Yarrowia lipolytica: one gene and its partner. The protein of the gene in region 1 purifies or fractionates together with the protein of each later gene. This does not show direct contact. Links are inferred from orthologs where the notes say so. Each region holds a gene or a part of one and is shown in the gene's direction. Other genes may lie near its edges. The genes, in order: YALI1_E36179g and YALI1_C06041g.

Evidence for each region.
Region 2: the proteins of YALI1_E36179g (region 1) and YALI1_C06041g purify together in Saccharomyces cerevisiae (affinity purification with mass spectrometry; 3 studies listed by BioGRID). This does not show direct contact. The link is inferred for Yarrowia lipolytica from reciprocal best matches to the Saccharomyces cerevisiae genes RPL32 and RQC1.

What each region holds. Positions count from the first base shown.
Region 1 is NC_090774.1:3,608,963-3,624,420, reverse strand, and holds YALI1_E36179g (60S ribosomal protein eL32), read left to right. Parts: upstream 1-6,522; coding exon 6,523-6,918; downstream 6,919-15,458. Other genes in the region: YALI1_E36308g (uncharacterized protein), read left to right, coding at 1-1,983; YALI1_E36206g (uncharacterized protein), read left to right, coding at 3,794-5,062; YALI1_E36140g (uncharacterized protein), read right to left, coding at 7,609-10,413; YALI1_E36116g (uncharacterized protein), read left to right, coding at 12,636-12,700, 12,840-13,404; YALI1_E36103g (uncharacterized protein), read right to left, coding at 13,599-14,054; YALI1_E36098g (uncharacterized protein), read left to right, coding at 14,643-15,458. UniProt on the Saccharomyces cerevisiae protein: Component of the ribosome, a large ribonucleoprotein complex responsible for the synthesis of proteins in the cell.
Region 2 is NC_090772.1:594,562-611,748, forward strand, and holds YALI1_C06041g (uncharacterized protein), read left to right. Parts: upstream 1-9,570; coding exon 9,571-11,502; downstream 11,503-17,187. Other genes in the region: YALI1_C05972g (uncharacterized protein), read right to left, coding at 1,038-2,678; YALI1_C06006g (uncharacterized protein), read right to left, coding at 4,467-6,050; YALI1_C06023g (uncharacterized protein), read right to left, coding at 7,446-7,754, 7,825-7,989; YALI1_C06032g (uncharacterized protein), read left to right, coding at 8,657-9,187; YALI1_C06071g (uncharacterized protein), read right to left, coding at 11,674-12,591; YALI1_C06106g (uncharacterized protein), read right to left, coding at 14,146-16,122; YALI1_C06118g (uncharacterized protein), read right to left, coding at 16,764-17,187. UniProt on the Saccharomyces cerevisiae protein: Component of the ribosome quality control complex (RQC), a ribosome-associated complex that mediates ubiquitination and extraction of incompletely synthesized nascent chains for proteasomal degradation.

The sequences.
Region 1 (15,458 bases):
AAGGGAGTTGTGGAGAAGCGTCATGGAGTGCAACTGGAGCATGCCAATTTCTTTGTTCTGGATAGGGAGGCTGTTCTGAACCGGTCGGCGTTCCTCATGAATAACAACAACTACGGTTGTCATCGCAACAGTCTTTGGCCTCCCTGGCTGGCAATTGAAATGTGCTATGACGCCACTGCTCTGCGAGATGATGTTGTTGTGTCCGATGCTACTGTTGGTCTTCGATACGACAAGCCCAACACACTGCGTCTCAAGTCTCTGCAGGAGTCTGCACGTGAGGCTCGCTGTACTGAGGACGAGGAGAAAGAGGCATTCAACCGTTTCAACCGAATCGAGGTCGACTTTCCCAAGGTCACGGCCTACTGTACTTCCGAGCAATACTTTGCCATCTACACCATTGCCATGGATCTGTTGCTGTATTCTGAGCCCATCAAGGAGTCCAACAAGAAGGCTATGGATCGAATGCTCATGACTTTCGATCCCAAGCGTCTGCATTCCGCTCCGGAGACCATTGAGTGTCTTCAGAACGAGATGCGACGTCTGCGAAAGATCCGAGATCTGATGCAGACCCAGAAGGACGGCAAGAAGGACGTTCGACAAATTGACGTCGAGCTAGCGTCTGGATACCTCGAGCTCTTCACAATGATGGCTGCCACCACCAAGATTCTCGTCACTTCTAAGGAGACCGAAGATTTCACTGACACCATGAAGTGGGCCATTGGCTCGGATGAGATCATCTGGCACTTGCTGGAAGACGACCATACTCCTTTGGTCGACTTTGGTATGGCTTCTCCCTCGTTTGTACGATTCCAGGAGCCCAACGGAGCCAACACCAACTGTATGGAGATCCAGATGATGCAGGGTTTCAACCTCAAGCCCAACGCTCCTTACCCAGAGATGCTTGGTCCGTTTTTGGATGGTGATGTCAACAAGAACCGTCGAAACGCCAAGCTCAAGAAGCTGGACGAGCCTGCTCTTGTGTACGCGGCTTGGAAGATGCTGGCTCCCATTGGTGGTATTCCTGTCATGGAGTTGTTGGAGGTTCAATTGCAACCCCTCAAGCTTGCTCTTGACCAGGACACAGCCGAGAAGATGTTCTCCTATGTCTTTCCCAAGAACAATGACTCTCCCTTCAACGTGCATGACCCCACAAAACACAAGACCATGGCTGATGCTGTTGCCATTTACGCAGACAGCGACAATGGCAGTGATCTGACTGGGGGCAATGAGTCGTTGTCTTCTTCTCTAGCGTCTCGTCTAGACGCATCTCCCAACAACCGATACCAGGTTGTCGGTGTGAAGATGCCTGGTGACCCCGACTCTCCCTCGGCTTCATCCACCCGAAAGTCGATGGAGTCCGACTCATCCGACGAGTCATCTTCGGGACGGTTCAACATTTTCCGCAACCGACGACGTCAGGATGAGTCTGACGAGGGAACTCAGATGATGGAGCGAGCCTCCGAGTACACTTCCATTGTGGATATTCGGCTGCACTCTGCTGTCATCTGCATCTCTCTCAAGGGCCACGGTACCAAGGCCCTGGCCGACGTGCACAACTTTGTCTTCACCATTCCCGATCTTGTGTATCAGAACAAGACGTGGACCAACCTGGATCTGGCCAATCAGGTCAAGAAGGACGTTATTCGGGCTCTGTTGCAGCATACTGGCTCGCTTCTTCGAAACAAGATCCGACCCCACAAGAGAGAAACAAATTCCGCTCCTTTGCGACAGATCTCTGAGTACACCAAATTTACTGCTGTGGATGATCTTCGGGCTGATAAGGACTCTAACGACCATCAGAACGGCCGAGCTGGCCTGGAGTCGAGAGCTGGTACGTTCACTCAGCCCTCGTCTGCTTCTGTCAGTCGAAAGCCTTCCACCGATTCGTCTCTTCGAAAGGTGACCACTTCCAAGAGCAAGGAGTCCAATGGCAAGGAGCATCGAAAGAGCGGCTTCTTCCATCGATTGAGGGAGTCTCTATAAAGAGAGAATGGATGATACGGAGGTTAGAGAGGGAGGATAAAGAGGATAAAGGAGGATAAAGAGGATAGAGGAGAGATAGAGGAGGATAGAGGAGAGATAGAGGGGAGATAGAGGGGACGTTTTTGTATATTAATGTTATTGTATTGTAATTTGTTTTCTGTTAGCAGCTATCTGTATAGAGTATTATGTGCTGGTAGCAATGTGTGGCGTTGTATTCAAATTCACCGTTACACCTCACAATATAACCCTGTAACTCGGAAATCTTAATTGACATACTGTCTATCATGGTGGTGTGATCGGATATACGTATAATTATACTACTGTACTATTGAAATCGACGACGGCCAGTGTCCCGACACACAATTGAACTGATGCGGTTCAGACTATTGAGCGTTCTTCTGCTCGCCGTGACCACCACGTGTGCCGTGTTCGCTCTCCTCTTTCTCACTGGCTACTTACATCTGCAGATAGTCGACACCACCCGTTCGTTTCTGAACAAGGGGTCAAAGGGAGTGGACGTGGAGGTGGAACAGGATATTTGGAGGGAAATGAAGACTGCACAATCAGCAATTGCACCAACGTTAGTTCCACGTCCATCTGGTCACGTGGCTGCATTCGATTACGACGACGACAACTCTGCAGGGCGAGTGAGGTAACGATGCATGAATGGTGATGGCTACAAGTGTCGTAGTACAGAACAAGTACTCGTACTGTTTAAAGATAGAGAAAAGAATGCGTTGCAGAGAATACAGTATAATATTATTGTTTGATGTGTCTGGAGATGTCTTTGAATTGCTGCTACACAGTGTCCCATTGTTCACCTCTACAGTGAAAGATCTTGCAAAAGAGTTAATCTTCAACTCAATCGGGTTAGTATGATCTGGGAAAACAACAGAACATATTGTAGCTATTGTACAAGTACAAGAAGCTGTTGCTATGAAGGCTCATATAACTTACAGTACACACCTTGACACAATTCTGTTGTCAGTCAAAACCATTTGTTGTTGGTTTGTGATACCTCTGTGCGAACAACACTGAGCGTCTATAAAAAAAACAGACACCTGTTTCTGCTGGTCTCGATTTTCATAATTGACTTGCTAATAGTTGATAACTGCTAACTACAGCGTACTCATAGTTGACTGCTTTCGTTTAGAATGTGCAACAGTTGGCGAAGCCAAATGACTGAAATGCCAGCGATTGTGGGATTGCCAAAATATCAGAGCATGTGTCTCCTGCACTGTACACCTTTGCTAATATCCCTCGTAATCACAAGTGCACTGCAGCATGTTCTATAGCAAATACCCGTGACTTGCTACTTTTACACCGTATTTCGCTCTTAGTATGTTAACATGGCTTCAGGTATATTGCTACTGTAAATTCAGTTAGACACGGCAATTGAGACACACAGGTCAGGGATGGGACATACAGCAGCAACAGTCTCGACTGCAGGCCAAGCCTACACTCCCTCGTAGAAGTCTCCACGAGTATCTATCTATCGTTTAACAGCTTCTAACGGGCTTGCACCTTTTCTCCGTCCTCTTTTGCGTCAATTGAAAACCACTCAGAATCCTGATTACAGTAGAGCTACAAGTACCTTTCTGCACTTGATCATCGATTACATGACCAAAGCACTCTCGGGTCTCACAGCAATTGACTTTGATCATCCCTTTCCAAGGTAGACTTTGTGATTTGATACGGGCAGGCTGTCATTCTCATCTTCGTTCTCGTGTCCAGACTATAGTAGTGGCACTTCTTATCACATTTATCACACGTTAGTCTAGACCAACGCCACTTTAACCGCCAGAACTCTATGACATCATCTTCCCCACTCATGCGATATATCAAGCGGCCCTTGAACCTTGTCACCAACCCTGCCAGATCCCTCTTCACTAGCAAAACGCTAAACATCATGAGTTCGAACGGTACAGACAGTGCAAACGGTACAAACGGCGCAGATGGTCCTTCCTTGTCGCCCGAGCCTGAATTGTCCATGAAAGTCATCAAAATCGCAGGTACTCCCTACAACATGGGCTACCAGCACGGCCAAGCCGTCCCCCAGTTGGTCAAGGGCACTCTGGACTTCTACAAGGCGTTCCTGACATCCTGGAGCGGTCTCTCGTGGACAGAGATCCAGCAACACGCCAATGGCTTCGTGCCCTATCTGCAGCGGGAATGGCCCGACTTCTACGCCGAAATGGAGGGTATTGCGTCGGGTTCCGAACAGCATGTGGTGGACATTGTGTGCCTCAACGTCAGAACCGAGGTGGCGTTTGGTCTGAGTAAGGCCTTCAAGAAGGGAGCTTCTACAGCCCCTGAGGCGGCCTCAGACGGATGCACCTCTCTAGCCTGGGCCAAGGACGGAAGATCCATTCTGGCTCAGAACTGGGACTGGATGGCCCCCCAGAGGAACAACCTCGTGGTGCTCCAGGGCACCCCAGATAACCTGCCCCGGTTCTTCTCATGCACAGAGGCCGGTATCATTGGCAAAATTGGTTTCAACGAGTACGGCGTGGGTGTCCTGTTGAACGCCATTGCTGCCAAGGGAGTCGACCCCACCAAGACACCCGTCCACGTGGCTCTCAGAAACGCACTCCAGTTCAAGACTACCGCTGAGGTCGTCAAGGATTTCCGGCTCAAGGGAATTGCTGCTGCTGCCCACATTCTGGTGTCGGATGCTTCTGGAGACGCCGAGGGAGTAGAGTCGTCGGCCTTTGATATCGAAGTCTGCGAAAAGGACAACATTGGTGCTGTCGTGCACTCCAACCATTACCTGAAGGAACACAAGGACGTGGAGCACTTTATGTTCCTGCAGTGTTCCCCCGACCGAGTAGAGAGAATCGACACACTGGTCCATGACCTGGCCACATCAGGTGCCGAGCCCACAATTGATAATGTCCAAGCGCTGTTCTCCGACACTGAGGGCGAGCCCAAGTCCATCTGCAAACCTGTTCAGACTACTTCTCTTGAAAAGAGCACCACTCTGTTCAATATCACCATGGACCTGGTCACAAAGAAGGCCAAGCTCATTGTTGGGCGGCCTGTTGATCCTGAGGGAGAAATTGACCTTGCTTTTGAATAGTGCCAGCTTGGTCTAGCTTTATTTAATCAACACCACTGACTGAGAGAGATATGACGTACATTATTTATTGAGCAACGTTGTAGACATCTTCCGGTGGACATTTTAGCCCACCCCCCGAAATCACCACACGAGCCCATCAGTCTTGCATGTCACATGCACATCGAGGTATCTTCAATACAGCTTTATCGGCAGTGCCACTGGGCATGTATGAGACGTTGGTACAAGTATATGAACGTCTTATAACCATGGGTAATAGTAATGAGTACTTGCAGTTGCCTTAGTTGTCTCGCAGTGTGTGTTGTGGTAATACCAAATTCAATAATAATAATAATAAATAATAATAATAATAATAATAATAATAATAAAATAATAATAACATCGCCTCTACGACCTTAATGCGCTTCTAAGCGCTTCTCTCTTCTCTCCTCCCTCTGTGTCCCATTGACGTCACTGTGTTAGCTACTGTACTGTACTTGTACTGATATGCACAACCGCGCTGCAACTCATACAGTGACTATCGTACTCGTACTTCTCATGGAACATCTATAGAGCTTCTTACAAAAAAGGCTGAACTAGCTCTGAGAGCTGGTTTAAATAATCAGCACCAACACCTCATCATTCTTCAGTACATCCCTTACTATGTGTCACCCCCAACCCTCTGTCTATCCATGTTCTATCTCATGTCACTTCCATCACGTGAACACACGGCTCAGAAACACTTCTTCGTTGGTAACACAAATAAGGTTTTTAACACAATGGTTGAAGGGGGATAGAAGTAGATATTGATGGAGAAGTGGGGATTTAAAAATGAATAATATGAATAACTCGCCAATTTCCTTTTGATTTATGTAATTATTTCCCATTAAAACTGTCCCCATACCCCTCCTTTCGACACACCGCCCAGTCCCACCGATGCACCTTATTCAGTCTCTTCTGAGTGGTCACGTGAAATTCCATTTTGGGAACGCAGTCACAAACCCAAACGCCGACCCACTCTGGTTTTTACTTTGATCACTGGAATTCTCTTTCTATCCAACGACAACACACGACTAAAGGTGGGTATTGACACGACGGTGAATGAACAGTGGACGTAACGGTGATGGCACAGACGACCCGGCAACAACACGAGGATAAGGGAAAAAGTTGATGTCAGAACATGTCTGTGTTTCTGGTGCTCTCATTTTGAGATCCCACAGAGGATTGAGAAATCAGCACACAGAGATAACATGAATTGATGCGATAAGATATTATCGTTGGTTGACCACCTATGTCTCTCTATGTGTTAGGTTGTTTGAGTGATGTTGTGGTTGGTTGATTGGAGCGTGGTTGTTGCATGCAAAAAACTTCATTCTCTTCTCTTCTCTTCTCTTCTCTCCTCAGCGCTACACACGCACCACACCACACGCACACTGTAAGGACGAAACAGATACCAGATATCTCTAGACTCGAAACTAACACAGATGGCCGCCTCTAACCCCCATCCCAAGATTGTCAAGAAGCACAGAAAGGCTTTCAAGCGACACCAGTCCGACCGATTCGACCGAGTCGGCGAGTCCTGGAGAAAGCCCAAGGGTATTGACTCTTGTGTCCGACGACGATTCCGAGGCACCATCCGAATGCCCAAGATCGGTTACGGTTCCGCCAAGGCCACCAAGCACATGATGCCCTCCGGCCACAAGGCTTTCCTCGTCTCCAACACTGAGGAGGTCGAGCTTCTCCTCATGCACACCAAGGTCTTCGCCGCCGAGATTGCCCACAACGTTTCTTCCCGAAAGCGACTTGCTATCCTCGAGCGAGCCAAGGCTCTCGGTGTTAAGGTCACCAACCCCGCTGGTCGACTCTCTCTCCAGGCCTAAGTTTGTCACTCTGTGGCTAACTGAAAACCGGTTTGGTGGACACACCAGACTTAATAAAATTCTTGTATCATCGCATGTGAATGGCTTTTTGTCTTGTATCTTGGAGTTGTTAATTGTAGATATTTGTAGTCTCGATTTTTATTGCTCTACACATTATGTCTCTAGGCTGTATCTCTGTCTCTCAAAAAGGAAAACTTTTCTTCCCACGTGAGCTCTCGTTGAACCCGCAACTTTATTTTGTTGGAAGAAGGGGTACTTTAAGATAATTGGTGCATAGAGAGAGTGAGTGATTAATGATATTTTTTGCAGCATGGAAGTGATGGAAAGTATTCAATATTCTTTAATCGACATAGATACTTTAAACAGTATAGACAGCCAAAAGTGACACTTCTACATTGTTGGGTATCATTTTGATGACTCTGTATTGTAAGTTTCTAGTAGTCCTAACTAATATTTTAACAACTGTAAGGAATATATTAACTAAAAGTCAACGAATGGTAGCCAATGTTCTAAGTTTGTGCGGCTGTACTGTAGTCACGACTCCTCCAAGTGAGTTCCCTGTGCTCATAATACCACCTGAGATACTCCTATTTCCGCTGTACCACTACGTACACTCTACAACTCGATACTACAGTCATGCATCTTCATTAGGTGGCTAATTTACATCTTCTCTGCATCACGTCAAATACGTCACGTTCCAGTGCTGCTACGTCGTCTCTCAACACTGCGCTCTGTGAGACCCTTTCCAATTCTGCACAAACTCTTGGACAGCACCTTGGCCATTCCCCAGGTGTCTAGAGCTGACAGAACATCCGCCCAAAAGTATGCAAAGCCTCCAGCGTAAGAGTAAGTCAGCATGTCCGACACTCTGTTAGGCTCTCCATGACGCTTGGCAAGCTCATGGCAGCTGAGCTCGATTCCAGAATCAATCAAACTCGTCTGCACAGTGTTCCATAGTATCAGCTCACGTGTGCTGAGGTCTCTTCCAATTCGCTTTTCAATGGAATCGATCCAAACGATGAACACCAGACAGATCTCAAAAGTCGAGACAATGTTCTCGTCGATCATACCAAAGGTGAGAGGCTTGAGCATGAAGGACTGGAAGATCTGAGATCCACAGAGAAGAGGCACGTGAAACAGCTCAAAGCACTTTTCGATGATCTTCGTCTCGGTCACCATCAGCTCTTCGCAGTGAGACAGCTCAAAAGTAGCTAGGCTGAGGGTTTGACGAGGGGGCGAGTGGAGCTTGATCGAGGACAAAATTGTGAGAATATGACCCTCGAGAATCATGGGATGGGCACGGAAGAGAGACACGGAAGAAACAGTAGAGGGGTTGATGGAGGACTCGATAATGGCTCGAATCATGATCATCAGGCGCTCACTGGCAAACAAATCAACTGTTCCAGAGACTGTAGGGGGCAACTGTTTGCAGCAATGTTGCCATTTCAACAGCGCTCGACCTAGATGGCCCGTATAAGATCCATTTTGAGAAAACTCGCCACTTCCATCTCTGCTGGTGTTGTTGGCACCTTCCCGTTTCTTCAGTTCCCAAACTTCGAAAAACAGAGCTGTACCGAGAATTCGAAGCCCATAATGACTCGAACTCGTGTCTCCAATGCCACAAAGAGCCTCCAGACTCGATCTGAAGGTTTGGGGAGGTACAGTCTGCGAATAAGCCTGCAGCCACTCCTGCTCGGACGAAAACGAGGCGTTCCACAGCGACTCTGAGCACGGCAAAGTGAGATTGGGACGCACATTGGCGTTCCAGATGGCTGGCCCATGGTTGAACAAGCACGTCATTGTACCGTATAGTACAAAGACGGCGAAATACGTACGTCTGGACGACTCCTGCATGATCCAGTTGCTCCACCCAAACTCCAGGTTTTCCACCTCCACTACTCGCTGAGTAACGAGGTTAGAAAGCAGGGTCTTTGTGCCTTCGACGAAATTCAGACTGGGCTCATCACCAACTCGCATTTCGTACGAGACGTTGATGAGCAGGGTTTGGGTTGCCCAAATAGGCACGGGACTGGCCCATGACATTTCACTCTGTTCGAAAACAGTGCGTCTCAACGAACAACTGAGATCGTTTAGTTTTTTGGACATTTCGATTTCAGAGGCAAACAGAGCTCCCATGGCACACACTGCAAACAAAAGAGCTGGGGAGGCCGTTTGTGGGTTGAACGACTGGGGATGGATAATGGGAGTCGTCATATGATAGCATGTGAAGTACACAGACAGGTATCTGTTAAGCTGGCCTTTACTTGGCAGAAACCGCAGCCCGCTCTTTTTGATTTCGTACTGAGACACTGCCGACAGGAGTGTCGACAGAGGAGGCGAATGAGGTGCAAACTGGGGGATGACAATAGGAGCAGGGGGGGTTTGTGGTGGTGGGTGACCGCTTGTTGATGCTGATGGTGCTCCTGTTGCTACTGCCACTGTTCCTGGGACTCCAGTCCCTCCTCCTACTCCAGTTCCACCTCCTACTCCAGCAGACGCTCCTGTGGTTGCCGCACTGGCTGATAAAGGAGGCGAAGGCTGGGCAGAAATGGGGTCCGTCTTCATCCCAAACGTTTCACTGGCACTTCTCACATGCATGGACGTCACGTGCTGTTGGTGTGGATGCTCTCCGTTGGATCCGTCTCGATGCTGAGCCTCTCCGAAAATGGCATTGTTGATGTTGTCGATCCCTGGAATGTTGACGTTCTTTTTGCGGCCCAGATCGGTGATGAGATTTGCCGCAGACAGCTCCTGGTCGTACAGCATGTCGTAGTTGAGAGGAGACGGGTATCTGTGTGGATACTCGTACTCAAACTCGCGTCCCGCAGCTTCCGCCAGCGTGCTTAGCGATTCCTTGTCCTGTGTGTTAGGCGAGCTGGTGTTGAAGTTTCCAAACATGGACATGTCCACTTTTCCGGGCTGTTGTTTGACGTCTACTGGAGAGTGTTGCGTGTGTGCTGGCGAGTTCATAGCTGGGTCGTGTCGAAGTGGAGGCTCAGGCTTTTCATTGTTGTTGTTGCTGTTGTGTAGATGAGATTGGATACCATTGTGGTTTGGCGGCAGTTGCTGGTGTTGTAACTGCTGCGCGTGTGGGTGTGGATGCTGTTGGGGTTCAGGTATGATTGACTGTTGGAGCTGGGGCTGCATCGGTTGACCTAGAGACTGTTGTGGTGGTGGTGGCGGTGGCTGTTGATGTGGCTGCTGCTGCGTGGCAACCTGCTGGGCCACCTGGCCTACCTGACCCTGTTGAACGGACATTTGCTGAAGCCCACTAACTGAGGACTTCCTTCGATCCTCCTTCTTCACCTTGTTCTCATTGTGCACTGTTCGGTCGTGTCGAAGCAGCAGATCTCGTCGTACAAAGCTCGAGGTGCACTTCGTGCACTGGAACGGCCGCTCCTGGGTGTGGCTCCGCTCGTGGCGAGTACGATGCTCGGACCGCGAGAAGGCCCGGTCGCAAAACGTGCATCTGTATTTTTTGATTGGAGCGTTCATGATATGATCTTTGGAATTAGGACTCGAAAAAAGACTTGTAAAAAGACTTGGTATCAGTCTGGTGTATCAGACGAACTGTACTGTGGGCGTGTATCGTGTGTCTCCCTTGTGTCCTCCACCTCGCGTACTCGTGTGTGAGTCGCTCCGTATCAGCTGGTGTTTTGGGCTCGAAATAACGTCGCTTGGAAGTCGGGTCAAGACCACTGTCCAGCGCCATTAATTTTTCTCTCTACACCACCTCTTTGCCTTTGCTTGTACCCCGCACGACAAGCCTGTGGGGAAAAAATTCAAAAGTTGTAACAAAGGGAACTTTAAGCAGCTATCCCGGTTATATCCCTTTTTTTGTTCCATCTCGCTTTGGGCTAGCTACTTGTCGCAGCAGCGCAGCGTCCTGGGCAGCGTTCAATTGGAGGGTGTTTTGTACCCCGCCCTTAGTCACTGAGATTGGACGTGCGCGCCCCACCACCACCCCGCTCAAGTTCAAGGCATTATTCCCGAGTCGCTTATGACGTCTGTCTTCGGAATATTCTATCCGAACTCTATCATTCGAGGTGAGATATTCTACGAGCACCCTGCTGGCCTGGCTCGTTTGTAGAGCAGAGGCGGCTGCTGCTGTTGAGTAGACCACCGACGCCTAATTGTTGAAGCTCCAGTAGCGTGCGTTGTACTGGTTCTGTTCGCTCATCTAATGATGTTGTACCACCCATCCTTGGCCCAGCGCTACTTGTACAGTAGTGTCTCTCCTTCTCTTCTGTCACCTTTTTTTCCGCTGGCCCTGACTTGACACTTGTTCCGCGCCCCCAGCCGCCATTAGTTTGGGCTTTGTTGTGCATAACGTTGAGTGGAGCCTTGCAGCGAGGAAACGATGAGGCAACGATGATCTCTGGGGAAGGATCGGCCCGTAGACGGTAGATGTGCGAGAGCCCCTCGAATATCAGCCGACACATATTAATTCCACACGCTGGGTCCCGCCTTCTCCGCCACCTCGCACTGGTGCACGCAGTTACCCCGCCCCCGAAACAACGGTACGACCCCTCTTCTATAATTATCCATGTTGCAAATCAAGCCTGGGAAACCACATCTCCGACGCTTGCCCTCCTGCTATTTAACTCAGCTGGGTTTGACAGGCAACCTGTGGAGTGCGACTACAAGTAGTCAAGCTTTGGGGAGACTCGACAGAGACTCTACGTAGCAGACAAGGGTTGGCGTATGGAAGAAGGGTAATAGGCAATGGGACCTCTCGAATGCGATTGATGCTTGATAAAATAATTCTCTGCGTCGGCACAATGGCGGTGCTCGTATTCAGCAGCATAATATTCGCTGTCTTATACTGACACTTTCCTGTATAGAGTCTTGCGCGTCCTACGAGTGCTTGTACATACCAGCCAGTACTGTAATTACAGTACGTACGTTGGAGGTTTCTGCGGTTTTCTAGCACCTCGCGAAAGTGTTGATTTTGGAGATGCATAATGACGACAGGGAGAATGGATAGAATTGCTGCCAGCATGGTCATTTGGAGTCAAGTTGCGCGCAGTTCAAACACGTGATACACCCTCCTTGTCGTCCACTCGCCCTTCTGCCCCGCTGTCACGGCCACATGCCACCCTTCCTACTCCGGCTCGTATACGGCTATGCTGCGCTAACTTGCACTGACGTGTTTAGAGGTGTCGTGGTACAAGATGTTCGCTACTGCCACCTCTGAAGAGATTCATCTGAAACCTTATCCTCGCGACAACAGAGTTCGGTTGAAATTGCAAAGCGCCCCTACAAGTAGCGTTTTGGCGGCAGCCAACAGCAGAATAGTTGAACCCATGGACTATGTCTTGCACCTCCATGGTGTAGAGTGCCAGCCGTGTTTTAGAGTGTTTTCGGAAGGGAGCATCACGTAGACACAGGTTGTGCAGTTCCGTAATCACCAAATTGTCAATACAATCAGATGAGGTTACTGTACTTGTACATACATACTCCATTTAAGCAACATAAGAACAAACAAATCACACATCAATGTGAGATGTGACGCAAAGACAAAAGATCACCATCCAACATTGCCCATATACCCCCTAGTTTGGCAAACAAGACGAGGTTCTTCCTCAAAATGACCGAGAACCTCCCTACCCAGCCATCCGCGTCAGTTCGCTGAAATAGTCCAAAACAGTCATCCCCTAACCCTGACACAGGGGTCATGATTGTCACCATCCGACAGAGACGATAACCGTCAAACCATGGAGCAGCAGATCCAAGAGCTCGTGGTCAGACGTATTCAATACATTGAATATGTTCGGAGAGTGTGAGTACCACGAAAAACACGCGCTAAGAAAAGCGCCTTTGGTTCGACACTGCCCCACGCGAGACACACACGATATGGCACACGACAGACCTCAGCACAGCAGTATGAACAAGAAAGGAGAACAAGCCAACTAACACAGCCACTCCGGATCTCTATACTGGCTCAACTCGGTACATCTGTCAAGGGACGACATCGAGGCCATGCACTACGACAACAACGCCGCCCAGCATCTCTTCTGTCTAGGGGCATCTCTGCCGCACATGATTGTTTCCAACACGACTCAGCAGAGCTACCTACGCTCGTTTCTGGCTTTAATGAAGGAGTTCGAGACATTCTCGTCCGCCGAGACCACAAAGCATCGACTCTCAGGCGTGGGACGGTTCTTCCGGGCCAAGACCAAGAACGACAAGAGTGAAGAGTCCTCAGCGCCTGTGGAGTTCACACATCTCACAATATACAGACTACCGTTCGTACCAGACATGTACGAGACCTTTGGGTCAGTATGTGCCATCCTAGTGGATGCATACTCCAAGATCCTGGAGCTGCCAGGAAAGGCCCCTGATAGCTACGAGATGCTGCTAAGACTAGATGAGCGCGTGAAAAGAGGAGTGCTGGATGCATTTGTCAAGGACGTTGACGCAATGTCAAAAAATGTTGTGAGAGACGAGGCCATGAAGATCGAGTCTCTTTTGGTCAACATTTGATCGACCACAAGACAACACAACTGCGAGTAATCGCACACTGGAGAGCATGAGCTCCCGGTGTTTATATATTGGAAAGGGTACTTAATAGGGTAATATACAGCTTCGATCTGAGATGAAGATGCACGATACGACTACAAGTAGTTGCAGCACCACTCTGACTTGTGTCTTAAATAAAGACCCTGAGGCCATATGCATTATGAGTATAGTCTGGTATAATAAGGGTAGGTCTGATCATAACGAGACAGCCCCCAAAACTCCACTGACGTTGAATGCCTTGGAGTCGGTAACATGAAGCTTCTTGGGCGATCTGTAGTCCACCACCATGCCCCACACTGTGTTAGTATTGCCATACGGTTGCATCCGTTCCGTCCTTCTCGACTGTACTCACCGAAATATGCAGCTCGACGGCCAAAAAACTTGCCGATGAGGGGAATCAGAACAAAACTGACCAGCTGTTCCAGCTGCCGTAACGACTCCTCCCATTGTTCCTGGGCGTCTGAGTATCCGTCGTCTGAGTAATCGCTGATGTCCGAGAACTCCGGCAGATCATAGACTCTTCCGCCGACCCCTTCTTGTGCAAGACGAGCTGCAACGCCCTCTCCGGCGACAGAAAAGTTCACATCTCCTATTTGGCTTGCCACGTCCACCATTGTGTTGTGTATCGTGGTTTGACGTTTGGTTGGGGGTGTTGTGGAGCACAGTAAGGTTCGGTGATAATGATGTGGAGGAGCAACCAGCTGGCACGTGTGGTTTTGGTGTAGTATTGGGTGTGGATGGGATAACAACAAGTGAAGCAAAAATGTGTGGCAAGGAGGGTTTATGAGATAAAAGCGAGTTTTTCAATATCCGTAGCCACCCGTTACATGTCAGTAGGGTGGATTATTTCAGTTGTTGATATTCAAGTATTATGTCAACTAGTGATGTAAGTTAGTTGGAACTGCCAAGTGTTGTGTAAAATACTAGTGTACCGTTACGAAGTGCACATATAATGCCATTACGCGCAGTTAATCAAACAATAAAACAATCAAAATGATAATAAGATAACCCAGATTATTTATCACTGTTACAGTACCTCACTTGTTCATTCCCTCTCCCCTTTGAGCAACATGTTCGTCACACGTCGCAAAATACGGTCAACATGCACCATGCAGTAAACTGCAAAGTTTTGAAATTTTGTGAAGTGAAAATCTCCATCCATCAAAGTGCTCCGACGACTAATTTCCCGAGCAAAAGTCGCCATGACCGACGCCGACAAGTACACAGTGATTACTGAGGGCAAGGCCAACATTCTCTTCCCCAAAGAGAACCAGGTGTTTTATAACCCCGTTCAGCAGTTCAACAGAGACCTCTCCGTCACTTGCATTCGGGCCTGGTCTGAGATCTGGGCCGAAGAGAAGGCCAAGAAGAACAAGAAGCGAAAGCGAGATGAGAAAGAAAATGAGGAGTCTGGAAAGCCTCACATTCCCGAATTCAACATTCTTGAGGCTCTTTCTGCTTCTGGTCTGCGAGCCATCCGATATGCCAAGGAGATTCCTGGTGTCAAGAACATCATAGCCAATGACTTCTCCAAGGACGCTGTTGCTAGCATTGAGAGAAACGTGGCTCACAACAAGGTCGAGGAGCTGGTCACCCCCAACGAATCCGACGCCAACCTCGTCATGTACGGCAAGCAGTTCCAGGTCATTGATCTTGACCCCTACGGATCGGCCACTCCCTTCATTGATGCTGCTGTCAGAAGCGTCGATGAGGACGGCCTACTTCTGGTGACTTGTACCGACCTAGCTGTTCTAGCAGGAAACTCCCATCCTGAAAAGTGCTTTTCTTCCTACGGAGGACAGACCTTCCATGGAGGAGATGCCACACACGAGAGTGCTCTCCGTCTCGTCTTGCATATGATTGCCGGCACCGCTGCAAAGTACGGCAAGTGCATTGAGCCCCAGCTGTCGCTATCAATCGACTTCTACGTACGACTTTTTATTCGGGTTAAGACCTCCCCCATCAAGGTTAAGGAGCTCGCCTCCAACACCATGGTCACGTACCACTGCACTGAGACT
Region 2 (17,187 bases), on another chromosome or scaffold:
TGGGAGTTGATGCGTTTCCGCAGGTCTAAAATCTGTGTGGAAGGCTGAGACGAACACGGGGAGAATGAGACACTGTTATAAAACGCAACATATGACGAATCAGACAGAAGCGGAAATGAAGCTTCCAAGAGTTGGCAATTATATTCTGGCAGTACTGTGCGAGTTCGAGTCAGCACATACTGTTCTTGTAGCACACAACCAAAAAGAGTACTCTCGTATGTACAGTGTACTACATACATTGGTGCCGTACACACAACCTGTAAATTCTCTCGCTCCCAGATCACATCTAATATGTCTCTCTCATTGTCCCTTTGGATTCAATATTAGCCCTTTCGCCGTACCCCCTCTTCTGCCGTAACCGTTGTATGTGTTCCAAACCCGGTTTCAACAACCACTTGGCTGCATGGAACATTCAATGTCCAACAAAATAGCCGAAACGTGGGGTGAGGTCTGGTGATCGGGCTATGGGCTTGGCCAGAAGAGATAGAAGCAAACGAAAAGAGTGACACCTAACAGGGTCAATGGCCATGATCGAGGGGCTTGGACCTGATTTGCTCCATCGCACTATCTTCGAGTAGCGCCTCTTCCAATGGTTACTATTTTTAGCCACAAATGTTGCCAAGAACGCAACCGCGGAGATGTACGATGAAATGAATTTGCTTCCGCAACGCAATACAAATATCAGTACGATACGAGAACTTGTAGATCGGTTCTATTTATATCAGGTTACATATTACTTGTATCATGTCTGTATCCAATATTCTATTTTTGGAGCCCAGTCTAGTATTCTGACCCACTCCTTCTGACATTCATACTCCTCCAGACGTCGCCTTGCTGTCCTACAAGAAGAGTATGTACTGCACCATCACCCGATCGTTTCAGAACATCTATTATAAATAAAATGTATGTACATGAATCAGTATGTACTGCACCATCATCCGATCGTTTCAGAACATCTATTATAAATAAAATGTATGTACATGACTGTAGAGCACCGCGTGTGTGCTTGTGTGATTGTTAGTATTGTGGTTGGGCGCTCACTGTCCAGTATACTTGCTTCTTCCCTTGAGACGTCCTCCATAAATAATGAGCAGCACAGGAATGATGATCATCAACACTCCAATACAGCCTAGAAGAGTGCATCCCCAGGCAACCGGCCACTTGGGATCGGTCTGGAGATTGACAAACAATGCCTTTGAGAAGAGAGGGAAAGCTCCGGCAAACGATGCTCGAAACAAACCGTTTCCTGCAAACACAGATGCCATGAAGCGAGGGAAGGAGCCTCCAAGGTAGTTGAAGCTCGTCTGGAAGATAAAAAAGGCGCCAAACATGTTGAGACCCGAGGCGATGATAGGAGCGATCCAGTGAATGTCTGGATGCGAAGTCCATCCAAAGATGAAGACAGATACTGGATAACAGACCGCTCCTATCAGACACAGCTTCATAAACGTTTCTATATCTGCGTCACGTTTCTCAAAGGCCCAATAAGTGGTAAAACAGTATGCTACCAGCCCAAGAAGACCTCCAACCATGAGTCCCATATATGCCAGACCCGACTGAATGGCGTTGAAGTGGTGGATCTGGTGAAAAACCAAGGGAAAGGCCTCGAACCAGACGTAGAGAGTAGCATAGAGCATGGCAATGTAAACATCCAGAGCCAAAACAATGGGTTCGGTGAATGCAATCTCAAAGGGTCGTAGCATGAACTCTCTGGCCAGCTGACTCACTGAAAGCTGAGCATACTCTTCGTCGTAGATGGTGGTGTAGTTGGGGTTACCTGTGAGTTTTCTGAGACGTGCTGCTCTTCTATGCAAAATGTTGGGGGCATAAGTTTCTGGTAACGTAAGAGAGAGGATGATGAAGCCTCCACATGAGACCATTCCCAGTATCCAGAAGGTCCATCGCCAGTCTTTGATAAAGTAGAAAACTCCTCCTAATAGAGGTCCCAGGGCAGGGCCAGTACAACAGAAGAAGGCCCATGAAGCAATAGCATACGTCATGTAGCGCATCTCAAACATGTCTCCCATTGTGGCAGCTCCCATCGATAACGAGGGAGCCGCTAGAACTCCACAGATGAACCGCAGAACTGTGAGAGAGGCAATGTTCTTGGCTTTAGCTGTAGGGGCCTGTAGGACCCAAAATACGAGCAGGGTGAGATTGTAGATCCACATTCGTCCCAGTCGCGGGTGTTCACTGAGCGGAGAAAACAATGTCTGTCCTACTCCGTATCCAAACACGAATACTGCCAGTGGCAAAATAGCCACCACCTCGGGAATATGGAACTCAGCCTCCAACTGCAAGATGGCAGGCATGTAAATGGACGAGCCCATGTAAATGCAACCGACCAGCAGTCCCATTTGCAGACCCGTGATAATCTTTTTGAGAAGACTCCAGTTCTTGGGATTGGCAGCATCATTAGGTCCGTACCAACTCACATAGATCATTCCCTTGTCGGACTCAAAGGTGTCTGAGGAAGGCAGATAGTCGTCGGAATCCACACACTGCCGCTTGGCGTTCTCCAGCTGCTCCAAGTCGCGGTCTTCAACGGCCTCCACCCCGAAATCCCCAAAGGTGGGCGGCACGAAGCCGGGCTCCTCCTCGGGGTACCTGAGAAGCCGTCGACGGGACAACAGGTACACTATCTGGCCCCAGAAAGTGTCATTGTCTAGCAGTCGCATGCCATGGATCACAACAGGGGTCGCAGGGTATATATCTATGGGGGCTTGTAGATCCTCCACCTCGATAGAGTTGGGTGGAGGTATATAGGGTGGGCAGCGGATAAGGGGCTGAAGGAGGTTTGCGGGCAATTTTGAGGGCTGAAAATTTGGAAATCAGATCTTGACCATGTATGTAAGTCTCTTGGTACTTTTCAGGGCGTTCCAGGCTCTTTCCGGGCGTTTTATGGCGTTCTCAAATTCTCATCTCCACCGTGCACACCGTACACATGCATGTACCTAAACCTAATGCCATGGACAAACCGGAACAGAAAGAAAAGAGAAAAGCAAATATATCATGTAGGGACAGGTGAAAGATGGCTTAGGGGAAATTAATTAATTGATGCCGATCTCATGTAGGAGGGGTAGAGGGGTCGCTGTGTTTCCCCCAGTGTTACATTGTCCCTGTTCTGGCTTGTGCTACTCCGATGTCTCACAATAGACCAATGCCATCCACCTCCACGCTCTTCTTCGGGCGCGGGTAATTGCATTTAGTCTTGGCTTGGGCGGCCGTGGTCTGAGGTGGATATTGGAGCGAGGCTGTTTGTATGAGAGAGCGATATAGCGTAGGAAGACAATGACTTGTTGTGTTGAAGGGCTATTTTTCAGGAACAATACCTATTGGATGTCTTGTTAGTGGCCTTCCACATGTTGGTTCCTGTTTATCCCCCTTGGGTCTCTCCCCAACAATCACCATCTTATCTTTTGCACCTGAAACAACTCGCTTAATTGTCGGAGGCCCTACTCTTGTCTCACTGTACTTTTCTCCCACCGGCCCATTGTCTCAGAAAAACTTAGACCCAAGTGGACCAGTCTGCTGGTACTGTACTCGGAATTCATGTACAACAGCAGTAGCTGCTACTGGTAGTCTTTCTCCTCCTCGTACTTATGGTGGCATCTGGAACACCCTATAGACGTTCCTGTGAGCACTTGCTCCTGCACATTTAACCGCCATTTATGCTTGCAACGATAAATGAGCCCATCTTCCTCCTATACCTGACAGCTGTATCACTCCGTCCGTGGGTGTGTGTTGTGGTCCTCCCAGACGACATAAAGTTGGGTGGATCTCCAATCCGGCTTTTTTCTGCCCGTCAAGATAGCTTCTTTTAGTGCGCTTTTGAATGGTGGGCGGTCGATAGCGTGTATCTGAGGGCACCCCTGAGTTACAACTACAGTACGAACAACTGCTTTTGATCATGTGATTGCTACTGCTGTTACAGCCTCGTCCATGTCTCTGTCTCACCGACGGAACATAAATCCGGCAACAACTTTTGAGTTGGTCTTAGCAGCCAGCTATAGCAATGGCTAGTTTTCGTGGACCAGAATTATAACTTCTTGGCGAGTCGAAGATCGTTATTAAGGATTTATTAATGGTTCATTAGAGAGCTATCGAGTGGGGGGTTCAATAGCTGTTGCATTCGGAAGTCTACAGCAAATGTGACGGTGTTCCGTTGGTTGGCTGGTTTCGCTTTTGTGAGACAGGGGGTGTTAAATCGAGGAAAGAATTACATCGGAGAATTATACGAGCCAAGAGTCTCAGGGTTTGACTTGTTTTTGTGTTGCGACTCTGGTTGTGATTCTACAGTACCTCTCTGTTACTTTTGCCCTAGTCCTATATACTGTAGTCTGATACGGTATCGTAGATAACCCCGCCAACATTATGCAGTCGCCTCGTTAACACTTGATTTATCATTATACGCATGTCTACTGGTAGTGAGTTGTACAGTAGCTCTAGATTGACTCCACCAACCTCTAATTGGCCCACTTGCTTCCACCCTTGAGCCTCTCTCCATACTTGATGAGAACAATCGGAATGAGAATCATGAGAGCCGACAGACACCCGAGGACAGTGCAACCAAAGCCCACAGGGAAGTTGCCGGGACCCAGCTTGACAAACATGGCCCGTGCAAACAGGGGAAAGGCTCCCGCCATACCCGACCTGAACAGGCCGTTTCCTGCAAACACAGAAGCGATGAAGCGATGGTACGAGCCACTCAGGTAGTTGAAGACGGTCTGGAAGATGAAGTACTGGCCAAGTACATTCAGCATGCCTGCAATCGTGGGAACAATCCAATGAATGTTCTTATGGGCCGTCCAACCAAACATGAAGACAGAGATGGGGAAGAGAATGGCTCCAATGAGAGCAATCTTCATGAACAGAGCCACTGGAGGGAACTCACCTGTCTCGATGACGGGCTTGGTGAATGTCTTGTATACAATGGGAACGTAGACGAAGGCGGCTAAAAGTCCTCCTACAATAAGTCCCAGATAAGTGAGTCCAGTCTGGATGAGATTGAAGCCATGCAGCTCGGAGAAGACCATGGGGAAGGCCTCGAACCAGGTGTACAGAATGGCATAGGACAGACCAATGTAGGCGTCCAGGAAGAAGACGATGGGCTCAGAGAAGATGATGACCAATGGTCGCAATAGGATCTGGTAAGCCACTTCCTTGTTGCTCATGGCCTTCCATTCCTCGTCTGCCTCAGTGGTGTAGTTGAGGTTGGGGTTGAGCTTTTGCAGACGCTTAGCTCTCTTATGGAGAATGTGGTGTTCAGACGTCTCTGGAAAGCAAAAGAAGAGCAAAACAAAGACGGCAGCGGCAATGATCATCCAGATCCAGATAGTCCAATGCCAGTTAAGCACCTGGGCAAAGACTCCTCCGAGAACAGGTCCAAAGACAGGACCGCAGATGGCAGAGATGGACCAGAAGGCCAGAGCAAAGGGCAGGTACGCAATTTCGAACAGGTCTCCGAGGGTAGCTCCACCAGTTGCAAGAGCGGGAGAAACGGTGATTCCCATGATAAATCTAAGTGCCAACATGGCCCCCAAGTTAGGTGAAAGAGCTAGAGGGACCATGAGACAAATGGAGATACCTTGACATACCATGTAGATCCAGAGACGTCCAACAGCAGGGTGTTCAGAAAGAGGAGAGAGAACAATGGGGCCTACTCCGTATCCAAAGACAAACACCGACAACGGCAAGATAGCTGCTACAGTGGAGATTCCGTAGTCATTTGAGATTTCAGAAATGGCCGGCGTATAGATGGATGACCCGACGTACATGGCGAAAGTCAACAGCAGGATCTGAACGGACACAAACACCTTCTTTGCGGTGCCCCAGTTCTTGGGGTTCTCTGGGTCATCTTTAGTGAATGTGACAACGACTGTAGATCCTGAGATGACGGCAGTGTTTGTGGAGATGTCACTATGACTCTTCACGGGGTCGTTCTCAGCAGCAAAGTCTGGGATCACGTAGTCTGGTCGGAATTCAGGATACGGAAAGAGCTTTCCAAAGCTTGCAACGTTGACAATCTGGGTGAAGACAGATCCTTCCATGGTGTAGGACGATGATTGAGATGTTGTCTGTGAGTATTCTAGTGGAGACGTTCAGAGGACATATATATACAGGAGAATCTTCAAAGTAACAGTTTCAGGTTTCAACTCACCACCCGAAATGGCCCCATTCTTGATCTCGGCTTGTACTGATGAGTCTCATGGGTTGTAGAGTGTTCATATTTTTATCGCCGGTGCCTGCATATTCCGCATGAGATATGCGATAAACGTGCACTATAATTCCGTCGGAAGTGAAGCGGAAGAGACGGTAGGTTTCGGAAGTGTATAGAGAGTCGATGCTGACGCCTTCATACTTAGTAGGATAAGATTTCACATGAGTAGTAATAATTTGCAGAAAATTCTAATCACAATGATATATATTTTGTCCTGGACAGCTATCCTGAATTTCTGGAGAGCTCAAATTTCAGTCCGGACTTATAAATTAAACAATCAAGCTAACTTGAATAAAGTATTTTTGAGTTGTGCGGCTTAGAAGTCTGTTGAAGGGACACAAGTCGGGTTTTGCGACGAATAGAGGAAATATAAATCCATAATATTTTTCTGTTAAATGGGAAGACCCTACTTATGTTTTTATTTTTTCTCAATCTTTTCTACTTCCGGTGACAGCATGTTCTCTCGCAAAACTAAGTTTCAGCTATGAATCCGACCATAGACACTTTGAAAACAGCTTACAAGCTACTGACGCGGTGAATACTGTGGAAACGATGTGCTACTGTGACCAAATACTTCGACAAAACGGTATGATACCTGATCTTCATTTTCGGTGCTGAATCTCATTTTTACTCCGGATACCGCCCTCTACATCTCTTCTGTAACAGCACAACGACCGGAATTAAAAGAAGCTCGCGAAATTATGATCTGAAATCCGCCGCTCGGCACTGCTGCGCGGGGTAATGTAGCACACACTAACCTCCGCGAACCGAACCGACCGTGATTGTGAAACGTGATCGGATGCCGAACAGCAAAGAGATACAGAGATACCGTGTATTGAACAAGTCCACCAGTTGAAATTGAAGATACGAACAAGCGAGAGATAAAGCAACAGCAGAGCAAGCTAGATAGGTTCATGTCTGATGAGAACTGCACTCATGACGTACCCTCTTAGACCAAACAGATGGGGTTCAGGTGCCTGTCAGATAATAAGCATATGAGCAAGTTTGAGAAAGAGATCAAATCACATACACAGGGGTGATGAGCGAAGTGGGATACACCACGAGGGTGGGCCTGGTATGCAATTACTTGACAAGATCAACCCCTCAGTGGTAACAGGTAACAGGTAACAAGTAGTTGCACTGGAAACAACTACTTTCCCACCAGCTTTTATTGACCTCATCCCGTTCTTCGCAATGCGCAGCTTGAATGGCTACAAACAGCCCGCTAACCTCCCTCGGTGTTTGTCCGGAAAATCCCCCGAAAGGCTCGCTGCAAATGCTGAGGATACCCCGCCACAAACTCTAGCGAAATGCTGACAACCAGCAGATTATCTGAGTCCACCTCCATGGTCATATCCTTGTAAGACTCTAGCTCCTTAGCCAGAGAAGAGAAATACAAACCTGGGTGGGTTCCTATAGCCTGCAATTGGTCACTTGTGAGTGTGTACTCCTCCAGAGTCTCTGAATCCGTCCGTGAAAACTCCATAAGAAACCTGGTAACGCTTCCGGTTGAAAAAGCGTTACACGCATAGTTCTAGTTAGCATGTTGGCCAATAGCTGGTCTACACGGGTCATGACAGACCGTAACACAACTTCATACTCACAATCCAATCACAAACAAGGGACACTCCATCATGTCCTCTCAGAAACTTCATGTATGGGGCTCCGTCTGGAGTCACAGACACCGTGTAGGAGCTGCTCTCAAACACTCCTCGAATGTAGAGAATGGTAGCCAGTGAGGCCCTAAGAACGTCGTCCGCGTTCATCATCTGTTGCGTTATGGATCAAGTACGAGTACGGGTAACGGTGCTTGAAACGGCAGGTATATCATGTATTAATCGACGGACATTCTGTAAAGACCAAAAGTTGACATCTTAAACAATGGCGATGTTATGGTAGATATTTGGGAGGAGCACGAGTACAAGTACAAGCATAGTACGTATATTAGTAATCGTGCTGTAGCTGACCTCAGCCCTGAGGTTAGGTTTTTTCAAGCTTTCACCATCATTCAGAATTGAAAAAAAATCAACCATTTCAAACCACACTCAGATTACTAATACAACCCCCACCCCCCAACCCTAGCGGCTCAATTAGGCCATCCCTTGATTCACAGGAACCCTAATCCTAACTCATCTCGTTGATCTCCAATTCAGTCCAACCCTTTGTGCCCAACGTGTCACCGCTATCCGGTGCCACGGGTATTATTTTTCAGGCACACTTTTTGCTGCCGCCAGTACATACACATAATATACACAGTAGACTCTCGCTTGACTCATTAAACTATGCGCAACTTGACTGCACCACTCCCAAAGTACAGTACAGTAAATAAACTTGATGTGCACTCCACCACCTTAACTACAAGTCATCAACCAACACCGAACCGACTCACTCAACAAAAGGACAGCTACAACGTCCTTCTATTAGAATAACCACACCATGTCGCTACAACGAAAGAAACAGAAACAGCCCGTCGAGGCCCCCGCAGCTCAGCGATCAAACTCGTTCCAACAGTACCTGGACGACGAGCAGAGGGATCAACTGGCATCCGTCGGTATGGGTATTCGAAAGAGCGTTTCCGACGGCCACAAAACTACCGGCAATCACAATGCGTCGCTTCGACACGAGAGCTTCACTCCTGTTGCTGACGTGCAGAACCCACTGCGAGGAACGTACGGTCCTGCCTCATCTCTCGGAGGATACATCACCAAGTCGTTTTCTGCTGCTCCAGAACTCGGTCTGGGGTCTGCTAACAAGGACCGAGAGGTCAAGGGATACAAGGGAATCGGTGCGGAAAGATACAGCTTGAACCGCAACAAGCCATTGGCAGCAATGCCACAGCGAAAGAAGCGAGGCCGAAGCGAGACTGAGAAGGGATCCGACGATGAAAGCGAGAAGGAAGTGGAGGAGGTGGACGACGTGGGATTCCCTATCATCAAACTGCAGCCTCGAGAAAGTTTTCAGGACTGAATAAGGGCTAATTGCCAAGCACAGCTATGTCAGTAACATAGTACACGACGTATATGAGACCATGCCATGACCGATACCAAATAGCAATGTATTTATGTGATTTTAAAGAGGTGGGAATGTGCAGAGAGTGTATACGAGTGAGAGGAGGTATTGTGCTAGAGTGTCTGGTTTTGTTCTAGTACAAGAGACCATTTATAGCTGTGGTCATAATATTGGCAACCGGAGACATTATCGACAAGATTTTGGACATTATATCAGTGACTAGCTCGCACACCATCAATGAGCGTTAGCCTGATATAATCACCCCTCGTCTGTATCATCCATTCCTTGTATCTTTTTCCTGGATCAGCTTACTAACAAACCCAAACTTGCTCCATGCATGTATGACATCTCGACATGATGATCTGATATTGTTCACCATACAATACAACGACACAGGCCAATCGACACATACACCCGCTACACACAATATGTCTTCGGCAATGAGACGTATGATGGGCGCCAAAAAGGCCGCCCAGAAGCAACAGGCTGAAGCTGAGGTTCCTGCAGACACAGCTTCTTTGGCAGAGCAGGTACAGAGCTTGAGTGTCAAAGATGAGCCAGCCGAGATGTCACAGAGTACCCCCGAGCCTGTTCCAGAGCCTTCCGCCGAGCCTTCTAGTTCTTCCAAGTCTTCTAGCACTTCTGAGACTTCGAAACAGGGACCAACTGAGCCTATCAAACCAGTTCAGACGAAGCCTGCCAAGAGCAAGGCTCCTAAGACTGCACCCGCTTCTACAGGGTCAACCGAAGAGCCCACTTCTGGAAAATCGAAAAAGAACAAAAAGGGCAAGGAAGAAAACGCAGTGCCCACTACGCCTTTGAGCGTGTCTCCACCTCTACTCAACCCCGAGCACGAAATCAAGCGAATCTACGGCAACATCCGACTGTGGGATGAAGACGGAACCGCAGAAAACTTTACCAATCAGCTTACAAACAATCAGAAAAAGAACTTGGAAAAACTCAGCAGAGTCTGGGGAGGCAAGGACAAACGAAGTGTGCCTGGAACCACTAAAAAGCTGACCCTTGTCACCATCAAACCCTACTGGATCCCTCAGATCAAGTCGGAAATGAGCGTGGCCCGACTCTCGGCTGACCCAGGAGCATTCAGATTCACACATTCTGACTCCTATGCCGAGGGAGAGTTCCAATTTGTCCAAAGACGAGCTATCGGACAAGATTCAGCCGATCTGTTTGGTCAGTACCCCTACAACGTATCCACTCTGAACCAGTTGGCTGGAAACGGTATCAACACTGGTCAGGCTAGCAGTGAGTCTGCCGACCTCATTGAACGAGCTCTGTACGTCTTCAACCGAGCTCTACTAACCTCTTCACAGGCCGTTCTTGGCCAGTCCAAGTTCCAGTTCAAGTACGTTGAAAACAGGCAATTCTACCGAACCCTCTACCTATACATTGACATTCTGGCGCGACGAGGATTGTGGAACACCACTCTCGAGTTCTCCAAGCTCATCTACTCTCTGGACGATGCCGACTACGATCCCTACGGATGCAGATACATGATGGACCATTTTGCCGTACAGGGAGGAGACACTACAGCCATCAAGTACATGTTAGAGCAAAAACTGGCCCCTCAACTAGGCTACTCTCTTGCTCTCGCCTTACTACTTGATGGTAAGGATGCTGAGGCCGAACAAGCTCTCAGAACAGCGATCAAGACCTTCCCCTGGATCGGATACACGCTCGCCGAGAGCCTGGGAACCCCACACAACCACCGATTCGACTCATCCGGCTCCGACTCGGCCATTGAGGCCCAGTCACAGCTCTATGTGCTCAGAAACCGAACTCTGTGGGACGATCCCAAGCCCAAGATGCTCTTCACCAAGGTCTGGGATACCGTGGCATTTGACTATACCCGAAGCAAGGGACCTGCTCACTGGTACAACATGAATGAGTCGCTGAAACGTCACCTGGTCATTTCGGGAGAGCCCACTCTGTTGAAATACGCCCAGCCTCTTGCCGAGTCTGATCTCTATGATGATGATCCTGTTCCTCCTCGAGAAGACGTCAACGTTTACTCTTCCGGCGAGTTTGCTGCTTCGGATGTGACTCTAGCAGGCCAGAATGACGGAACTGATCAGGCTCAGGACGGAGAACTGGCTCCAGAGGTGGTGGCTGCTCTGGCTCAGATACAACAGCTGTGTGCCGAGGCAGGTATGGATGTGATGGAGGCTTTCCAGATGGTTTCCATGGACGTTCCCGAAGCCATGAGAGGGGTGCTTTTGACGGAGGTCGTCAACTCTTTTGCTGATGAGTAACGCATCAGTTGCGGCATGTTGTGATATATATACAAAATAATAGACAGCCACTATACACGCTGGTAACTACGAAAACCGTACGAGATTGTCCCCACCGCACAAGACTGTTTCCTTAAGACTGTCTTACCTCAAAATCCAACAATCTATCTATTATATACTCTATGAATACACCTACTGCATCTTCTTCTCGACAGGCACGTCGGGAGTCAGAGCCTTCTTCCACTTCCAACCCACGTTGGCGGCAGCAGCAGATGCACCCAGGAACCCGACAATCAGGTTGTCCACAATACCACCGTCGATGGACCAGTGGGCTGTGAGAGGCAGGTAGGCCAGGTTGATGACAAGGTCTCTCCACCACTGGTCTCCAAGACCCTTAAGGAAGTTTGGCAGCAGTTTTGTGCAGTTGCATGCCTTGGTATCGGTGGTGGTGGTAGTCTTTCCAGCCTTCTTCTCGATCGATTGTCTCTTGACGTTTCGTCTGATCTCCACAACGAGTCGGATGAGCTCCAGAACCACATGGAGAGCCCACAGCTTGGAGGAGTGGAGCCACAGAGAGTTCTGGGCCGCGTCGCTCACGGGAAGGATCTTGTGCATGCCCAGGTAGGCCACGTTTTCCAGAGGCTGGTAGAAGAGGTTGGACCACACCTGCAGGGCGGTGATAACTCGAACAGCCTTGTCGTACTTGATGTAGGGGTCGTTGACGTCCAGGGGCTTCTGCTGGGCATCGTACTCGGAAATTCCCCAGGAAATGAGACCAACCAGACCCCATAGACGGTTGAAGATTCGAATGTCGGAGATAAGACCAGACAGCACTCCCAGCGAGTCAGCCACGCCAGTAAGATCCGAGGCCAGACCCAGTTTCTCAAACGACTCGTCGATATCAAGACCGGTCACCTGACCAAGCAGAACCTTGGCCACCACCACGCCCATCTGCACGGACTCGAGTCGCAGCAGCTCGCACACGAAGAGCGATCCGTACCCGACAAAGGCTAGAGTGGGATCCAGGGTTCCGGCGTTGGACAGAAGAGCCAGGACCTTGTTGAGACGTCCGGAGGCCCGCAACAGGTTGACTGTGTATGCTAGCGACATTTTGGCAGTTGTTTTGTGTGTGTCTGTGTACTCGTAGAGAGGTTGAGAAGCTCGTGCAGCTGAAATATTTCGGTTGATATCCGGGGACAACTTTGTTTTTACCGAGGAGAACAAAGGTGTATGTTTGCGTACCTAAAGGGGGTATTTTGGGCTGCTTCAAGTTGTATATGTGTTCTGCTTCAAGTGTCCAGTTGATCTATCGCGTCCCTTATATAAGAGCATTCCTGATAGCCCGTGTATCTGCACACTACAGCGATTTCAAACGTGCCGAAAATAACGTTCCATATAGACTTTGGTCGGTACAAGTGTGGAGGGAATATGCACCTGATTTCTGGGGGACATGATAGGCCGAGGTAGAGCAATGTGGTGTGGAGGAGTCCAGTCACGAGACAGACTCGACCAGAACCAATCCGAGGTTCGAAAAAGCGCTCACGTGACCATTGGTAACCTCTCATTTGGCCTACAACTGCGCAAGTCTCACTTTATCCAACTGCCGCCGTTAGGCCGGTTACGTCATAACCGCGTTGTCCACGATTGGAAGTTCTAACCTAGAGTGTAGATAGCTGGAGTGTGGAGAGCGCGATAGAGAAAATGTCGGGGAGGGGGGTTTGAAGAGTTTCTGAAGATTTTATTTTGTAGAACATGGCTCAAGGAGTCTTCTGGAGGTATTCTTTCAGTGATTGGATGTTTATCAGGTGTGTTGGATACGGCCATTGAAAATGACCAGAAGCCTGATGTAGCCATGTACATACTCCACACTGAATGGGTCAAGTGTGGGGATAAACAAGTACAGATACGGAGAGTATGGAAATACTGAAGCTCTTTGTTCGCTTGTAATGATTTGAAGCGATCAGTCTTACTGTATGATAGTTCGTCATCCTTACAATGACTTAGCTGTGGCGTAGCCTGGCAGATGTGGATGCTTCAGGATCTGTAGCTAGAGGAGGAAAGTAGGCGCGAGTGACAGAGAGACTATCGTTCGGTAAAGCTTCTCATTTACAAATTGTAGGCTTCTGGTTTCAAAAACAAGTGAACGATCAGCGCATGATAGCTGTTCTAACTGTGTATCTCCACAATTACGTCAATGGCAGCACACATGAACATCAGATGTTACCATTACTCTGATATGTAGTGTCAATCCAATAGCTGAAGTTGATCGTTTGTCATCATTCCAAGCCATCTAGCAACCTGTTTGTATATCTTCAGAGACCTACAGTTCTTATGATACTTGGCAAGTAAAGCCCTTCAACAGTTCAACAGTTACGTCCCGTCATACAAGTACATACCAATGCCTGTATTCACCCATTATCTCAGATACACTGCTTGGACTATTGTAACTGGATACGAACGGTGTTGAAGATGACCCTCAAATCAATATCAATTGCTGCTGTTCCATGAAGCTGTTACATGTCCACTCCCCACACCATCATAAACAATAAATACACTAAATTACATATAAATCTAACCATCCCATAACCAATAAAATTAAAAAAGTGAGGACGGGCACATGTCCCGTGCTAACGCGTCCTCAGTTAGTATCAGAAGAGTTGTGATTTAAACACTACCCTCATCGGAAATCCCACATTTGAACCAATCATGCTGGAGGGCCTCTCGAGCAGTAATTCGTTCACGGGGGTCAAACACAAGCATCTTGCGCACCAAGTCGAGGAACAGGTCCCAGAACTGCCCATCAGGGTTGGCTCCTTCGCTGCGGCTCTTCGTGGATTGCGTCGATGTGTGGATCAAGTCTGTCAGACACAGAGTATCTCGGATGTAGTGCCTCGAGCTCGTGGTGGTGTCCTTGTTGGGGTATCCGAGCTTGCCGGATCGGGCGTTGAAAAAGTTGCCCACCTGAGCGCTGGGTTTTTTGGAGATCATCTCCTTGACGAACGCCTTGGGGAACGGGTATCCGATAATGGCCTCCATGAGCGCTAGGTGCTCAAAGTCCTCGTGGGTGTGGAACAGGGCGTCTCCAGTAAAAAGCTCCACCAGAATACAGCCTATGGACCACATATCACAGGCATAAGACCAGCCCACGCCGAGAATGATTTCGGGGGCCCGGTAGTGGCGCGTCGACACCACCGACGAGTGGTATTCATCGTCAAAGATGGCTGAGCCAAAGTCAATGAGATGGATACATGTGTCCTTGAGCACGTTACGAGTCTTGGGCTCCGTCTTTTTGGGGTCGTGTGCGCGGTAGTAGTTGTGTTTGCGGATCGACGACGGTCCCAGGTTTTTGTTGGCCACCCGCACGAAAGCTGCCTTCTTCAGTAGAATGTTTTCGGGCTTGAGATCCGTGTGAATAAGCCCCAGACCGTGTAAAAAGGCCACACTCTTGATGAGCTGCTTGGCAAGCTTCTGAATGTGAGAGCCAGGGAAGGGCTGGAACCGGTTGTCACGCATAAAGTCAAAGACGGAAATGTCCAGCAGGTCTGTGACGATACAGACATGGTTTCTGAAGTCGAAGCATTCGCGCAGATGAATACATCTGTTCTTGTTCATAGCGTCATAGTCGGCCAAGGCTGTGAGAACACGCAGCTCGATTTTCGACGCGTCTCGGTACTTGGGCACCGCTCGGATTATTTTGATGGCACATAGCGAGTCAGTCTGTTTGTCGTAAGCCGACACGACTTTACCAAAAGTGCCTTGTCCGAGCAGCTTTCGAATGACGTATCGCTCGGTGAACACGTCCGAAAACGTGGTCACGTAATGGCCGTCCTTATCGTCGTACTGAGACGCCAACAGTTTCTTGGCGTCAGCCACAGGCCGAACATACACCTCGGGGATCTTTCGACGAAGCTTTGGTGGTGGAGTCAGAGGAGTGTCGTTCTCGTCATCGTCCAGCAGATTTTTGTCCGAGTCCTGGTCGAGTGTTGTATGTGTGTTTGTGTCGAGTTGCTGGTCGGAGGACGACGTGTTGTGGGTAGCGGTGGTGGAGCCTGATGTCGACGATTGCGAGAACTTTCGTCGCTTGACGGGCAGGTCAGCGGCGGACGAAATTCGACGGTTGATAGTAGTTTTTGACGTCGTGGCAGTAGTTGCTACTTGAGCCACTTGGGTGTTGTTGACGTCGTCGCCGTGGTCGTCATCACTATCAGAGTCGATAACAATGACTTCATCGGGGTACCCGTTTTTGTAAAAGTCATGCCAGTTGGGCTGGTGCTTTTTGGAGGGCGAGCCGCCGGTGGAAGAGCCACTGGTCGAGGCTGTGGTGTGTTCAGACGAGTTGTCTTCGTCGTCTCCATCGCCAGGAGACGCGTCTCGCAGCACCTGGGCTCCGATGATCTGCAGTTCGTCATCGACAACGTTTTGGGGCACCTCGGGGGCAAGTCCTACGGGTTCCTTAGTTCCCGTGGACCGTCGCGAACCCCAGTACGAGCTGGAGGAGTCGGAAAACTTGTCCAGAGAAGGGGAGATCATATGTCGGGGAAGCTGCGAGTAGTTGGTCTGCAGGTGTCGGAAGGGGTTATTGGTTGGACCAGGGTCCTGGGTGGTCGGCGTGGACATAGGCGAGGCGATTGTTGTGGACATGTTTGTAGACCAGAGAGTCCTTGAAGCTGGGGTTGCTGGGGTTGCTGGAGCAGACGGTTCGGCCGGTTGAGGATCCTGGAGATACTCGAAAAGGGCCTTGACGGAGCTGTAGATGGGTATTTTGGACGGGGGCGCGTCGAGGGGACGTTGCTATCGATCGAGTCAGCTTGTTCACTATCTTGTTGTCTGTTGCTTCTGGCTGTTGACGATTTGGGGAGCCAGAAAAGGGCTTGGTTGGACGCCTGGACGCAGAAACCGGCGTTTGGGCGCAGAAAGAGGCGGATTGGGGCGCGGCGCAGGTCGTGGGCGCAACGGGCGGGCTCGGGGACGGGGCTGGGCTGCTGGTGGGGGCTCTTGTCGAGGTTTTGGGGGAGCTTCACACGTTGCGGTTTTATCCAGACGTGCGCACCATGTTGGGAGGGCGGTTAGGGTTTTTTGCCAAATGGAAAAACAGAGTGGAACGTGACAGAAAAGCTGGCTAGGGAGAGGGGAGTGGGACGGGGGAGAATGACCGGGAAGCCACTGCTTTGGCTGGTCAACCAGTTTTATTGGTGAAAATCGCGCCCGCCAACCGCCTACACGTGATATCTGACACCTCAGGCTCTCAGGGGAAAGGCCTGCACATCTGCGCAAATGGTACATTATGGTGCATGAAACAGGACCTGGCTGCAAAGCTTGTCGCACGTTGAGACGAGGGCACCGGGCAGTGGTTGGAGTGTATTTTTATTTGGCCAGGAGGAGGAGAGGGCAAAGCAGCGTAGCCACCAGGTAGGGTAACAGTACAGGGTGGCTATATCTGGCAACAGACGACCCGTGTACCGATCACCACGACTCAGGTCGCCACAGTACCAGCAGAAACAATCGCTTGTGATTTTGCAGATGTAGCGATGCCCACCGTCCCCACAACGCTCATCAACACTTAATATTCCCTTTTGGTCCGCTCGCAACCAGGTATACATGGGATATGCCATCTGGGTCGCATGGCCTGGTAAATTCGCCGGTGGACGTGGTGTTGGTGGGAGACCAGAAACAAAAGGTCGGTAGGGTAACTGTACGTACACACGC